Linked DNA regions of Callithrix jacchus. The protein of the gene in region 1 purifies or fractionates together with the protein of each later gene. This does not show direct contact. Links are inferred from orthologs where the notes say so. Each region holds a gene or a part of one and is shown on either strand. Other genes may lie near its edges.

Region 1 (3,646 bases):
CTCCCCTACCTATAACAACAAAAACACACAAAGATGCTTCACAATTTCTGCTAACAGTGCAGAGGAGGCCAATTGTGTGTGCTGTCCCCCGACCCAGCATCAAAAAAATAATCATCTAGCTATTTAAGAATCACTTCCTCAGATGATATTAATAAAACATCTAGGTAAATAAAATATTTTCTGCTTAACACTTTTTAATGGAAATGGAATTAAATACTTTTCCTCTACAGTCTGTCAGTCCAGATGACAAGTTTTGTTCTCAGTCAACTCAGGACACTAGAAGAGGCGGCATGGCTCATGAGATCTCATCAAATCCGCTGGCAATGTCAAATAGGAGGACCTGGGTGGACACTGAATTTGCATGTAGCAAATACCATGACTGCCAAAGAATCCAAATTTTAACTGCCATTTGTCAAGTTGAATTTTCCTCCCCAAACAAAATTATTTCTTAAAAACCATACTCTATAATGTGTTTTTGTTCCAAGTTGATGATGTTAAAACCCTGCAACAATGCAAAAGCACTTATCCTTTCTAAGGGAGGGGTCCTACATAGCCCGACACTTGCACATTGGGGGTGAGGTCCCAAGTAGAGATTGGAACCCAGGGCTTCTAAATCAGCAAGCCTACCTTATCTTTTCCATTTGGGAGAAAAGTCATACTGAAACAGAGGAGGAAGAACATTAAATATGAAATAGCAATAGCTGAGGCTAAAAGATGCTCCAACAGCTTTTAAAAACATCATCTATTTGGCAATTTCTATATGCCACATTCAACAGTCCTGACATGTTCCTGGACAGACAGCTCAGATATCTCAAACTCTTGAAACCCCAGGACATACTACAACACTGGCAAAAGCCACGTCATGTGACCCAAATTTAAGTGCCAGGATTTCTAACTACGTCAAAGGTGGGTTTACAGCAACTATTTTTCAAGAGCAAGTGAAGTACTCCTTAGCCCAGTGCCTGTCAAACATACATACGGAAGCTTTAGCTACAATTTAAGCCACCTAAGGAAATGTTATCAAGTTCTTTGATCTGCATGAAATGTTCGGTGATGTGAAGCAAGTTTGGAATTCTACATTTTCCTAAATTATAAATACCAAGTTACAGTACTGTCCCTAACTCCACTGCAGAAGAGTTTTTAAACACCTGTTACAGACACCTGAGCATGCTCCATAAAAATGCACAAAACAGTTACCCCAAGGGAACAGGTAAGGTCAACAAATTAATCCACCACATTTAAACCTGGGTATACTAGGGAGGAGAGCTGAGCGAATAGAAAATGGGCTTAGCCTGAAGTGCAAAATAAGGCCCACTACCCTTGGTAAGAACGCACCAATTCCTAAAGGGATCCTTAACAGCTAAGACAGGGTGCTACTTACTTCCTCATTAAAAAGTTTGCTAGTTTCTTTTTTGATTGGGTCTATAAGCTGGACTTGGCCTGCAGAAAAGCCCACTAGGAGAGAGACACTTTCTGCTGTGGCTGTTAGGTGGTTGAAGTCATGACAAGTAGGCTGTGTTCCTTTGTATATCCTTTTATCTATTGGTTTACTCAAGTCAGCAGCCTGGAGGAGAAAGAGAAAAATACATATAGTAAACAGCACATTGAGATGAGAAATCTAAGTTATGCTATTTTATACTCCAATATGGTGTTTAATCTTAAAAATGAAGTTATTTAAAATATTTTTTCAGTTGTGACTTAACATTCATCTTACATTTTATGAAAGCACTTTCACATACCTTAGCCAACTAGATATCATCAGACTATCTATAATAAAACTGTTACTTTCACAACTTATTCTCCCTCAAATATATGTAACACTTCAGCAGGAAATATCCTTGAGATACTAAATTCAGTATTTTCAAAATGCGTTTCAATCAGTATCTAACAGAGGAGCCACATAAGAGCTCAGTTTCCAAGCGCGTCTTTAGCACCTAAATGTCCACTGGCCAGTCACCTGCAGCCCCGTGGCTCTCAAAGTATAGTCCCCAAACCAGAAGCAGCAGCAGCATGTGGAAACTTAGCAATGCGAAATCTCAAACCTTACTCCAGACTAAATGAATCAGAAACTATGGGAGGGAGTATGGGAGGGAGTAGGGCCAGCCAGCCGTAGTTTAAAGAGCCTTCCAGGTGATGCCGTTGCCTGCTCAAGTCTAAGAGCCGCTGCTGGAGCCCACGCTATACACTGGCTCCTCCTGGGTCAAGATCCCGCTTCTGAATTAGGTGTCAGGGAACACTCACTTATCGAGGTCATAATCAAGGTGCTTTACATGCATCATCTTTGACCCTAAAAATAATGCTCCAAAGTGGACAATATTTTACCCATTTTACAGATGAGAAAACAAGGTTAGGGAAGTTAATACCTTGACCAATTGTCACCATACCTACCTAGTAAGTGGCAGGACTGGATTTGGAACCAGTCTGTTTGACCATTAAGGGGATGGGGAAAGAGAGTCAAAAGCAAATGATTTCTCACTTGAGTGTAAAGAAATTTTTCAATGTGCCCTCCCTCCTTTCAAGAAGAATTCTTTTCTTCATGAGAAATGTTCTGTGTCATCCCAATATGCTGAGCTTTTATTGTGAAATATAAGGGAAACCCATCCCCTCCCACTCTTGTCTGAAAATCTCAGGTGGAGACAACTAACCCTGAAACAGAACTTGTCCCTCAAGACACCCAGCTCACCCTGCGTGGCCCTCTGGGGCTCCCGGCTCTAGTTCTCTACTGACCGCCCCCTCAGGTTCTGAAGATTTCTTTCTTCCAAAGAGGCCTGGGACACTGAACCAAGTAGTCTAATGTTTGACTTTGCAATAACAAATATAAATAATGAGTAGAAAAGAGGACCTCAAAATTACAGGCGTGTTTGAGCAAACTCAAAACCTTGTACATGTGGAAGTCTGGACCTGAGTGGTAACAAGTAGCTCTGGGAGCCCCAGGGCAAAGGAATGAGGGTACATGCCATGCGGACACTCTCCCAGCCTCACCTCAGTTAAAACGGAGATGAAAATCTCTGTTCTACCAACCTCATGGGATTGTCTGGAGGATGAAATAAGAGAATATATACATGAAAGAGCCTTGAAAAGTGTAATACAAAGCACCATACAAAACAAAAGGGAGTCCTGACTTTGGAGTGAGGAGAAAGGGGCCAGTGGAGGGTGGGCTGAAGGCAGCTCAGCCGAGTGCTGTGAGTGAGCAGCGGGGCCCAGGACGGTGGCCGTGGACAGGCTGTCTGAGAAAGGCAGCTTCTGGGCGGGCTCTGATGGCAGGGAGAGAGAATCCTGGCCTGACAGAACACCACACGCCAGTCATCTCAGAACAAGGAAGACAGCCCCCACCCCCCGCCAAAAAAAAAGCCACAAATATAAGATATGACTGGCAGCTAGAGAACAAAAATCCAATTTTGAAATATGAACAATTAAGTTACACATAATTACTATCAGCATATTCAACTCTTGAGACTTTTTCTTTTTTTTTTAGTTTGCTTAGGAAAAATAAAAAATCAGGCACGCCTGTGGTCCCAGTTATCCAGGAGGCTGAGGTGAGAAGACTGCTTGAGCCCAGGAGTTCAAGGTGACAGTTAACTGGGATTGCACCACTGCACTTCAGGCTAGATGACAGAGCAAGAAAAAAAAAAACAATGACAACAAC
Region 2 (4,322 bases), on another chromosome or scaffold:
TTCTAGCATGGGCAAGAGAGAGGCTCTGCCTCAAAAAAATAATAATAACAATAATAGTGTTTTGGGCTGGGGGCAGTGGCTCATGCCTGTAGTCCCAGTGCTCTGGGAGCCCAAGGTAAGAGGACCATCTGAGGCCAGGAGTTCGAGACCAAAAAGCAAGACCCCATCTCTACAAAAATAAAAATTAGAGAAGCATGTGCCTACAGTCCTAGCTGCTTGGAAGCCTGAGGTACTTGAGCTCAGGAGCTATGATCACACCACTGCACGCCAGCCTGGGTGAAAGAATGAGGCCATGTCTCTAAAAAATAATCTTTTTAAATTTGTTTGGCATTAATTGTTTATACATACTTTGTTAAACACCCCCCAAAAAATGAATCTCATGGCACACAATGACTACATTAGTTATAACTTCATATCTTCTATAAGCTAAGTTAAAAAGCATTAAAGAGCCGGGCGCGGTGGCTCACACCTGTAATCCTAGCACTTTGGGAGGCTGAGGTGGGTGGATCAACTGAGGTCAGGAGTTCAAGACCAGCCTGGCCATCATGGTGAAACCCCATCTTTAAAAAAAAAAAAAAAAAAAAAACCCAAAATCATACAAAACATCTGGAAAATTTACAAACCTATGCTTCTGCAATGCACTAAATAAGTTGGGAGCATACTTTGAAGGAAATTTTCCAATATCCCAGGATAGGTGGAACTAGATCTCATCTAAGTTATGCTGACTTTATTATATTTGCCTTTTTGAAGAATATCTGTATTATTTGACAATAATGATGTTCATGATTTGGTATCAGGTATAAAAGAGTAACAAAAAAGAATGAAGTTTTTGAAGGATCTTCGGAAAACAATGAGCGGGAGGCTGGGTGTGGTGGTTCACACCTGTAATCCAAGCACTTTGGAGGCCAAGGCAGGAGGATCACCTGAGGCCGGGAGTTCAAGACCAGCCTGACCAACATGGTGAAACCCCGTCTTTTAAAGAAAAAAAAAAAGCACAATGAGTGCGGGATGACTGTTTCCAATTCAGAGAATCTTCTACTGTACTACTTTTTTTTTCTTTTTTTTCTTTCAGCCCCACACTGACCAAATACTGTACTACTTTTTTTTCCAACATCACTTGGCACAAAATTCAACCACTCAGCTACTCAAGAAAATTTGTGTGCGAGGCCGGACACGGTGGCCCATGCCTGTAATCCGAGGACTTTGGGAGGTCAAGGCGGGGGGATCACCGGAGACCAGGAGTTCAAGACCAGCCTGGTCAACATAGCGAAACCTCGTCTCTACTAAATACAAAAAACCGGTTGGGCATGCTGGCACGCGCCGGTAATCCCAGCTACCCAGGAGGCTGAGGCAGGAGAATCGCTTGAAACCTGGAGGGAGAGGTTGCAGCGACTGAGTCACTGCACTCCAGCCTAGGCAACAGAGCCGAAATTCTGTCTCAAATAAATAAATTAATTAAAATTGAGAGGCAGTAGCACAAAAAAATGTTCTATATTTTACAGAGTTCTAGTTTATGTTGTTCCATAGATTCACTATGTTCTATTATTTTTTCCACATTCCCATCTTTGGGACATCATACTAACAACCTTCATAACATGTAAGTATTGCTCAAACTCAATCCCAATAAACTATTATTTAATGTATTTTTAACATCATATGTTTTCATTATTTTGCAATGTATTTTTGAAACACATCAAATCTAAATTTTCTTTCCTTTCCATCCTTCTACCGGGCAAGTTTCATATCCTGCATTCCTCATGCAGAACTCTAGAAGGAATTCCATTCCACCTCTGGAAGGACACCTAGTTTACATATTTGACCTACAGAAAAATTTCTCTGCAACTCTTACAAATGCCAGTAAAAAACTCCACCCAGTCAGCCTCCCACAACCCCTCCCTTTAACCATCTTCTCCCCACTATCGCCGCCCCACCAAACTTACTTGTCATCACCTTCAAGGTTCCACTCCCCTCTTGCCTGCATCTGTTTTCATATCCTCCCACTCCCCCAATTCCTGCCGAGAAGCCCCGCTAGCTGCCTGTTGCATAACGGCTCCCCCATTCCGTCTCCCTGGGCAGTCGGCCCCGCTCCCGCGAGCAGGAATGCCCCTTTCGGCCCGGCCCCTCCTCCCTCCTGCAACACGCCCAGCGAGTCCCCGCGACGCAGCTCCAGCGGGGATTCTCGCTCCAAGCGGGGCGGGTCGTCCTTCCCGGCCGCACCTCGAGTAGCGAGCCCCGAGGGCGGAGGAGCCGGCTCCACCCGGCAGGGCCCGGAGCCCACCGCGGCGCCGGCCAATCGCCGCCGCCATCCTCCTGCTGAGGTGATGTCTTCAGGTGTCCGGGAGGGGAGAAAGCCCTGCGTACTTCCAGCCCCGCTCCAGTGCCAGGAGCCGGCGGCCCTCTAGCCCCCCGAAGCCGGCCTCCGGGTCCCGAGCGCGGCTAGGCAGGCAGAGGCCAGCCCGGAGCGACTAAGGGTCCGGGTGGGCGGCGGCTGCCGGCAGTCCGAAGGCGTGGGCCTGCGAGGCGGGCGGCGCGCGGCCAGGGATGAGCAGCGGTGGGGGACCGAGGCCTGGGCGGGGGCGCGGCGCAGAGGCCTCGGCGTCCCCGGCCGGGTATGGGGCGGCCGACTGACTGAAGCCGGGGGGCGGGGGTCACTGGCTACCTCAGCCCCCGCACGGGGCGGGGGCGGCAGCGGCAGCGGCCTCTACCCTCCTCCTGTGTTCCCTCCCTAGCCAGCCCGCCCGCCCGCTTGTTCACCCGTCCGCCCGCCCGCCTCACCTTCAAGACCCGGATCCCTCCCGGCCGGCGACTCGCGGGCGCTTCGGGCGGCTCCGGGGGCTCCAGCGGGCCCGCGGGCCCCGGCTCCACCTCCCCCATGGGCGGCCGAGGCTGGACAGGGACGCCCGGCCGGCGCGACGGCGTGCGGAACCTCGGCGGCGCGCGCGAGCGGCCGGCGGCCCCGCCCCTCCGGCGGCCCGCCAGCCCCGCCCCTCCCGCAGCCCCGCTGAACCTGCGTAGCTGCGGGCGCCTTGTGGCCCGGGCGCCGCGGAGCCTCGTCCCTGCCGCCAGGAGGCCGAAGCTCGCGTAGCGGAACCTGGCGCCACCTCAGGGTGTGGAGCCTCCGCTGCCCGCCGCCCTAGGCTTGGAGGACTACGGCGCAAGAAGGGGTATCTGCTGCTGTCCCGGCCCTCTAAGAAACCCGCAGGAGGAAGGGGCAGGTGGCGCCTGCACCTGTGAATTGTGCCAGGACGGTGCCCTCCGCCCAGGGTGGCTCTTGTAACTTCCCTCACTTGCCAATCCGTTGAACGAACTGTTGAGAATATTCACCTTGACAAGGTCTTTTCTTTATCAGAGATGCGTGCGACCTTCTTAAGCAAATTCAACACGACATCGTACTCCCCTCCCAGCCACGTTTTAATCCCGTTCCTCTTCATGGAGCAAAGAGATGAGCATTTGGCGCTCTGCTTCAAGCAGTAATATGGCCTGTGAGCCTTTTATGATTTATTTGCAAGGATAATTCAGAAAAAAAAAACTTTTCAAAGTTACCTTATTTTCCTTTTGTTCTTTTTCTTTCTTTCTTTCTTTCTTGCAGTGATGGTAGTTTTGTGGCCAGTCGGCCAAATTTGGAGTCAGCCAGCCTGATTCCAGATCTTGGCTTTGCCCTTCTTTAGAGCTATACCTCTGTGCAAGTTACTTAATCTAAGCCTTTGGTTTTTAAGCTGTCAGATAGAGATTAAAATCTGCCAAATAGTTATGATGAAGATTTAGTGAATACGAAGTGCCTATTGTAGACCGGCGATTCATAGTAGCCATTATAATTCTGAAGTTCTAAATTGAAGATTCATTCGGTTTCTCAGAAAGTACTCTGTCAATTCCTCCTAAATTTTCCTAGGAAGGCTTCTAGACTTGTGGATTTTTAGGGCTTCCTCTCGTACAGAGGGTGTTGAATCTTCAAGCAATTTATAAGGAGTTAAACAGCACAAAACAGTAATTTCTTGACCTTTGAAGAACTGTAATCCCAGCACTATAGGAGGCCGAGGCAGACGGATTACTTGAGGCCAGGAGTTCGAGACCACCCTGACCAACATAGCAAAACCCTGTCTCTACTAAAAATATAAAAAATGAGCTGGGCAGGGTGGTGCACGCCTGTAATCCCAGCCACTTAGGAAGTGGAGGCATGAGAATCGCTTGGACCCAGGAGGCAGAGCTTGCACTGAGCTGAGATCACACCACTGCACTCCAGCCTGCACACAGAGAGACCCTGTCTCCAAACACACACACACACACACACACATATAGATGTAATATATATATATATATATATA
Region 3 (3,646 bases), on another chromosome or scaffold:
AAACTGCCCCCAGTTGAGAACTGCTCACTGTGTACTCAAATGGAACATGAGGTATGAACCAAAATAACAACTAGTTACATTCACAGTTTACAAGTCATAGCAGCCTTGTCAGACAGGATAGATAGACGAGGCTTAGAGAGGTTTAAAGGTCATAGCCTGCACATGGCAGAGCTAAGATATGAAAACGAGCAGGGTGATGTCGGGTAGAGCCCTCAACCACCGAAGCAGCCGTGGATGCACACTTTGCAGAGTGGCTGCACGGATGGAGTGGGGTCGTGTCCATGAAGCACAGTGCCTGACACAGGGAGGCAACTGAGAACCAGATGTCGTAATGTAAGCAATTCGCTTTGTGATACTATGGATTTGGAATTCTAATGTTGAACCTACTTCAAAAATGTTCTTTGAAGGCAAATGCTCCTTAGCTAGTTTCTGCTATGACCTGGTCTCCTCTCCTCTCCACCATCCTGGGAAGACCCCTCCCTCCTCACCTCAGTGATAATGGCCTTGTGCTGCTTAATCCTCTTCAGCTCTTCTTCACAGCTCATGATGTAAGATCTGGACAGGGGCAGTGGCTTTCCATTTCGACAGAGAACTGTTTGGCACTTGCCCACATTAGCAGAGGTCAAGGTGAAGGATCCTCCTGGGTCCACAGGGTCATGCTTGATATGACAAAGGACAGCAGCACCTCCGAGCTTCTGCCCAGCAGTTCCAAGTTTCCTGGAATCGGAAGAGAAGGGGTGACAAACACCGTCCATCAGTGCCAGTTCTGCCAATTCCACAGGAAGACTGCACCAGTGGACAGGGCCAGAAATGCGACAGCTGGAGAGTCCACTCCGCCTCCTTCCTCAAAGATCACACTGCTCAGCCTCTCTGAGGAAAAGAGCCCCTGAATCTGACATCACACACATCCCCACAGAGAGGCTCACAACTGGGAGACAGTGTCACTGTCCCAGTAAAAGCCACGGGTGCTGCTCTGGAAGGCAGGAGCCCCTGGACTGCTGTGTACAGCACGCTACCCTCATCAACCACAATGCCTGATCAGCGCATTCCAAAGACAGCAGGAAAATGACTTCTTTCTCCATCTGCTTCTCTAAACTCCCTCTGTGCCCAGGAGAGGAACACTGAAAAAACCATGTACATAAGAGCAGGTATAAACATCCTGCACCCACTGACAGACACTTCAGAAAAACCTGACAACCCTCTCCCCCTTTTATATGGATGTTTGCTGGTAGGAGCCTTTAAGCACTGGAGTGTTCATGGTCCTGCCCTATATAGCAAAGACTTTCTGGACCAATACCATCTATTTTAGAAAACTCATAGAAAGAACATTCTAGTGATCCCCAAGTGCTTCTGATTTATCCTTTTAATCATGACAATCCGTAGACTTTCCAAATACAGAAAGCACCTGCAAATTCTGAAAATTAAAAATCAAAAACCTCTTTTACAAAGCTACTTCTTCTGGCAGATTGTCAAGGGAGAGAAATAGCAGAGAGGGATAAAAGACTATGATTGCTCCCATGGCCTCAAGAACTATGGCAAGCTGCACAAATGGTAACACGACCCAGGCCCCTGCTGTTCCTGGATGGTAGAGCAAGAAAGTTAAACAACATAGCCTCTCCTGTTTTACATGGGCAGACCCTCAGGTACCGTCTCTTCTATCCTGTGTCTAAGGTAAGCAAGCGGCAAGAGAAGCAATGGAAACCAGGGCTGCCTACTTGCATGCATTAGGAGATCCTGCACAAAGACCAGTTCCCCTAAGGACCAAAAGCTCACCACACATCCCATACCCTCTTAACAGACAGGCAAAATAAGAGACATACAAAAGACACTGGAGAAGGGCCCATAGTTTAGGATCCTAAACTCTAACTTCCAGATATGTGGCTCTCGGCCCTTCCAAGGAGGCTCTACTTTCTCCCTTTCATAGGCACAGTGGTTCATAAAACGTATAGCAAGTAATCTGAGATTAGGGCTCTCGGTTTTAAATTCTTATCCAGTGCTTGATAGTCCATAAAAAGCAGGCCTCTTGGGAGTTGCAGAGAGATGTGTTTGTGCTGCGGTGTGTGTGCACACATGTGATACATGTGTGCTGTTTTTCGAGAACAAAAGTAGTGAAAACAGGAAAGCTGGTGTGCCTGCTAGTCAGAACATCCTCTGGAGTCTTACTACCCAAGGTCAGGTCCTGGCTGCTCTACCTACTGTCCCTTAGGCACTGTGCTTCAACTCTCTGTACCTCACTTTCAGTAACTTCACCTGGCTAACTAGTAACAATTTATGATACTTAAGGTATTGAGAACAATGAGTGATACACAGTAAGGCCTTGCTAGATATTAGCTATTATTGTTCAGTTGCTAACTGTTCATGCTCACCGAGAATCTGAAAGACAGCAATGAGTGTAGCAGCAAGAACCACCCCAGGCCTGCCTCCCCCAAGCTCTCTGAGAGGAACCATGCATGACACGGGTATAACTGTAAAGGCTGCTCTGACCACTCCTCAGCAGACACTTCTACCCCTCCAACAAAGCTACTTGCTCTGGCAATGTCAAGGGGGAGAAAGCAGAGGAGGACAAAAAACAATGGTTGCTCTCATGACCTCAAGTACCAGTACACTCATCACTCCTGGGTCCCACACGAGCGAGTCTGCAGTACAATATTTATAGACAGGCAATTCCATTATCACCTAGAAAGCCATGAAGGTGATAAGAATGAACAATTCTTTGAATGAGGGAATCCTCATTCCTCTAAGAGTTAGAAACAATATTCCAAAATTTGTACAGCAACCTAAAGCTCTGCTGCTGGTGGAAACTCCAGAAACCTAGGATTCTGCCAGTAATCTTTGTCTTGAACGTTTAACAAAGGGGAAAACAACATACAAAGAATGATTTAACTCCTGGCCTAAAATCTGACAATCTCGATTTCACAAAAGTTTGCACTATCTCAAACCAGTGACAATATTTCATAAGGGCCAATAAACTAGGATGGAAATTGTCCACTTCAAAGAGAGGTCCCCACACCAGAAAGTCTAAAAAGCCTCTAGAGCTCACATGATTTAGGAGGAGAAATGGTATTGCAAACAATCTGATGAAAATCTGCAGTCAATACAGGCTAGTGAGGTCCAGTTCCTCACTCCCTGTCATTGTCTGAACAACAGTGTGTCTCAAGCTGGAGCACCATTCCTAACGCCTGGGCAACACCAAACTTGCCTGAATGCATCTTGGTACTCGTAGTCAAAAAACAAGGCTTGGAGATCATTGTGCGCCTGCTTTTCTAAACAGAAGATAAATACTTAAAGAGCAAGAAAACACACAGCAGGTAAGCTGGAACTCTGAATTTTACCTTTGCATGACAATGAATGTATTGACCATGTATTCTTCTTCATTTTTTGTTTTTTGCAGCTCTTCAGCCAAAATGTCACTCATGGTGCACTGGAGAAGGTAGGGCACCTCGACGTTCCGGTCTCCATCAAACACACCATACAGGGCTTCGCGATTGTCGCAGAAGTTATTCACCGACAGTGCTGCGACACACAACCTGCAAGGCAACCACACTTGCGTGCTGAGTCCACTCATCTTCCTGCTCCAGGCCCAGGACAATGCTTATTTATTTTAAGGTTTCCCTAAATCAGTTTTGTCTCTTTCTTCATGACTCCA

The links.
Region 2: the proteins of WDR20 (region 1) and PHLPP2 purify together in Homo sapiens (affinity purification with mass spectrometry; 4 studies listed by BioGRID and IntAct, with this or other methods). This does not show direct contact. The link is inferred for Callithrix jacchus from reciprocal best matches to the Homo sapiens genes WDR20 and PHLPP2.
Region 3: the proteins of WDR20 (region 1) and PHLPP1 purify together in Homo sapiens (affinity purification with mass spectrometry; 4 studies listed by BioGRID and IntAct, with this or other methods). This does not show direct contact. The link is inferred for Callithrix jacchus from reciprocal best matches to the Homo sapiens genes WDR20 and PHLPP1.

Annotation. Positions count from the first base shown.
Region 1 is NC_133509.1:137,130,118-137,133,763, reverse strand, and holds part of WDR20 (WD repeat-containing protein 20), read right to left. Parts: intron 3,035-3,646; coding exon of another isoform or gene 2,983-3,034; intron 1,565-2,982; coding exon 1,382-1,564; intron 659-1,381; coding exon of another isoform or gene 628-658; intron 1-627. UniProt on the Homo sapiens protein: Regulator of deubiquitinating complexes. Activates deubiquitinating activity of complexes containing USP12. Anchors at the base of the ubiquitin-contacting loop of USP12 and remotely modulates the catalytic center of the enzyme.
Region 2 is NC_133521.1:30,185,574-30,189,895, reverse strand, and holds the start of PHLPP2 (PH domain leucine-rich repeat-containing protein phosphatase 2), read right to left. Parts: upstream 2,893-4,322; 5' UTR 2,875-2,892; coding exon 2,776-2,874; intron 2,631-2,775; exon of another isoform or gene 2,218-2,630; intron 2,075-2,217; exon of another isoform or gene 1,941-2,074; intron 1-1,940. UniProt on the Homo sapiens protein: Protein phosphatase involved in regulation of Akt and PKC signaling.
Region 3 is NC_133514.1:105,926,605-105,930,250, reverse strand, and holds part of PHLPP1 (PH domain leucine-rich repeat-containing protein phosphatase 1), read right to left. Parts: intron 3,528-3,646; coding exon 3,333-3,527; intron 718-3,332; coding exon 489-717; intron 1-488. UniProt on the Homo sapiens protein: Protein phosphatase involved in regulation of Akt and PKC signaling.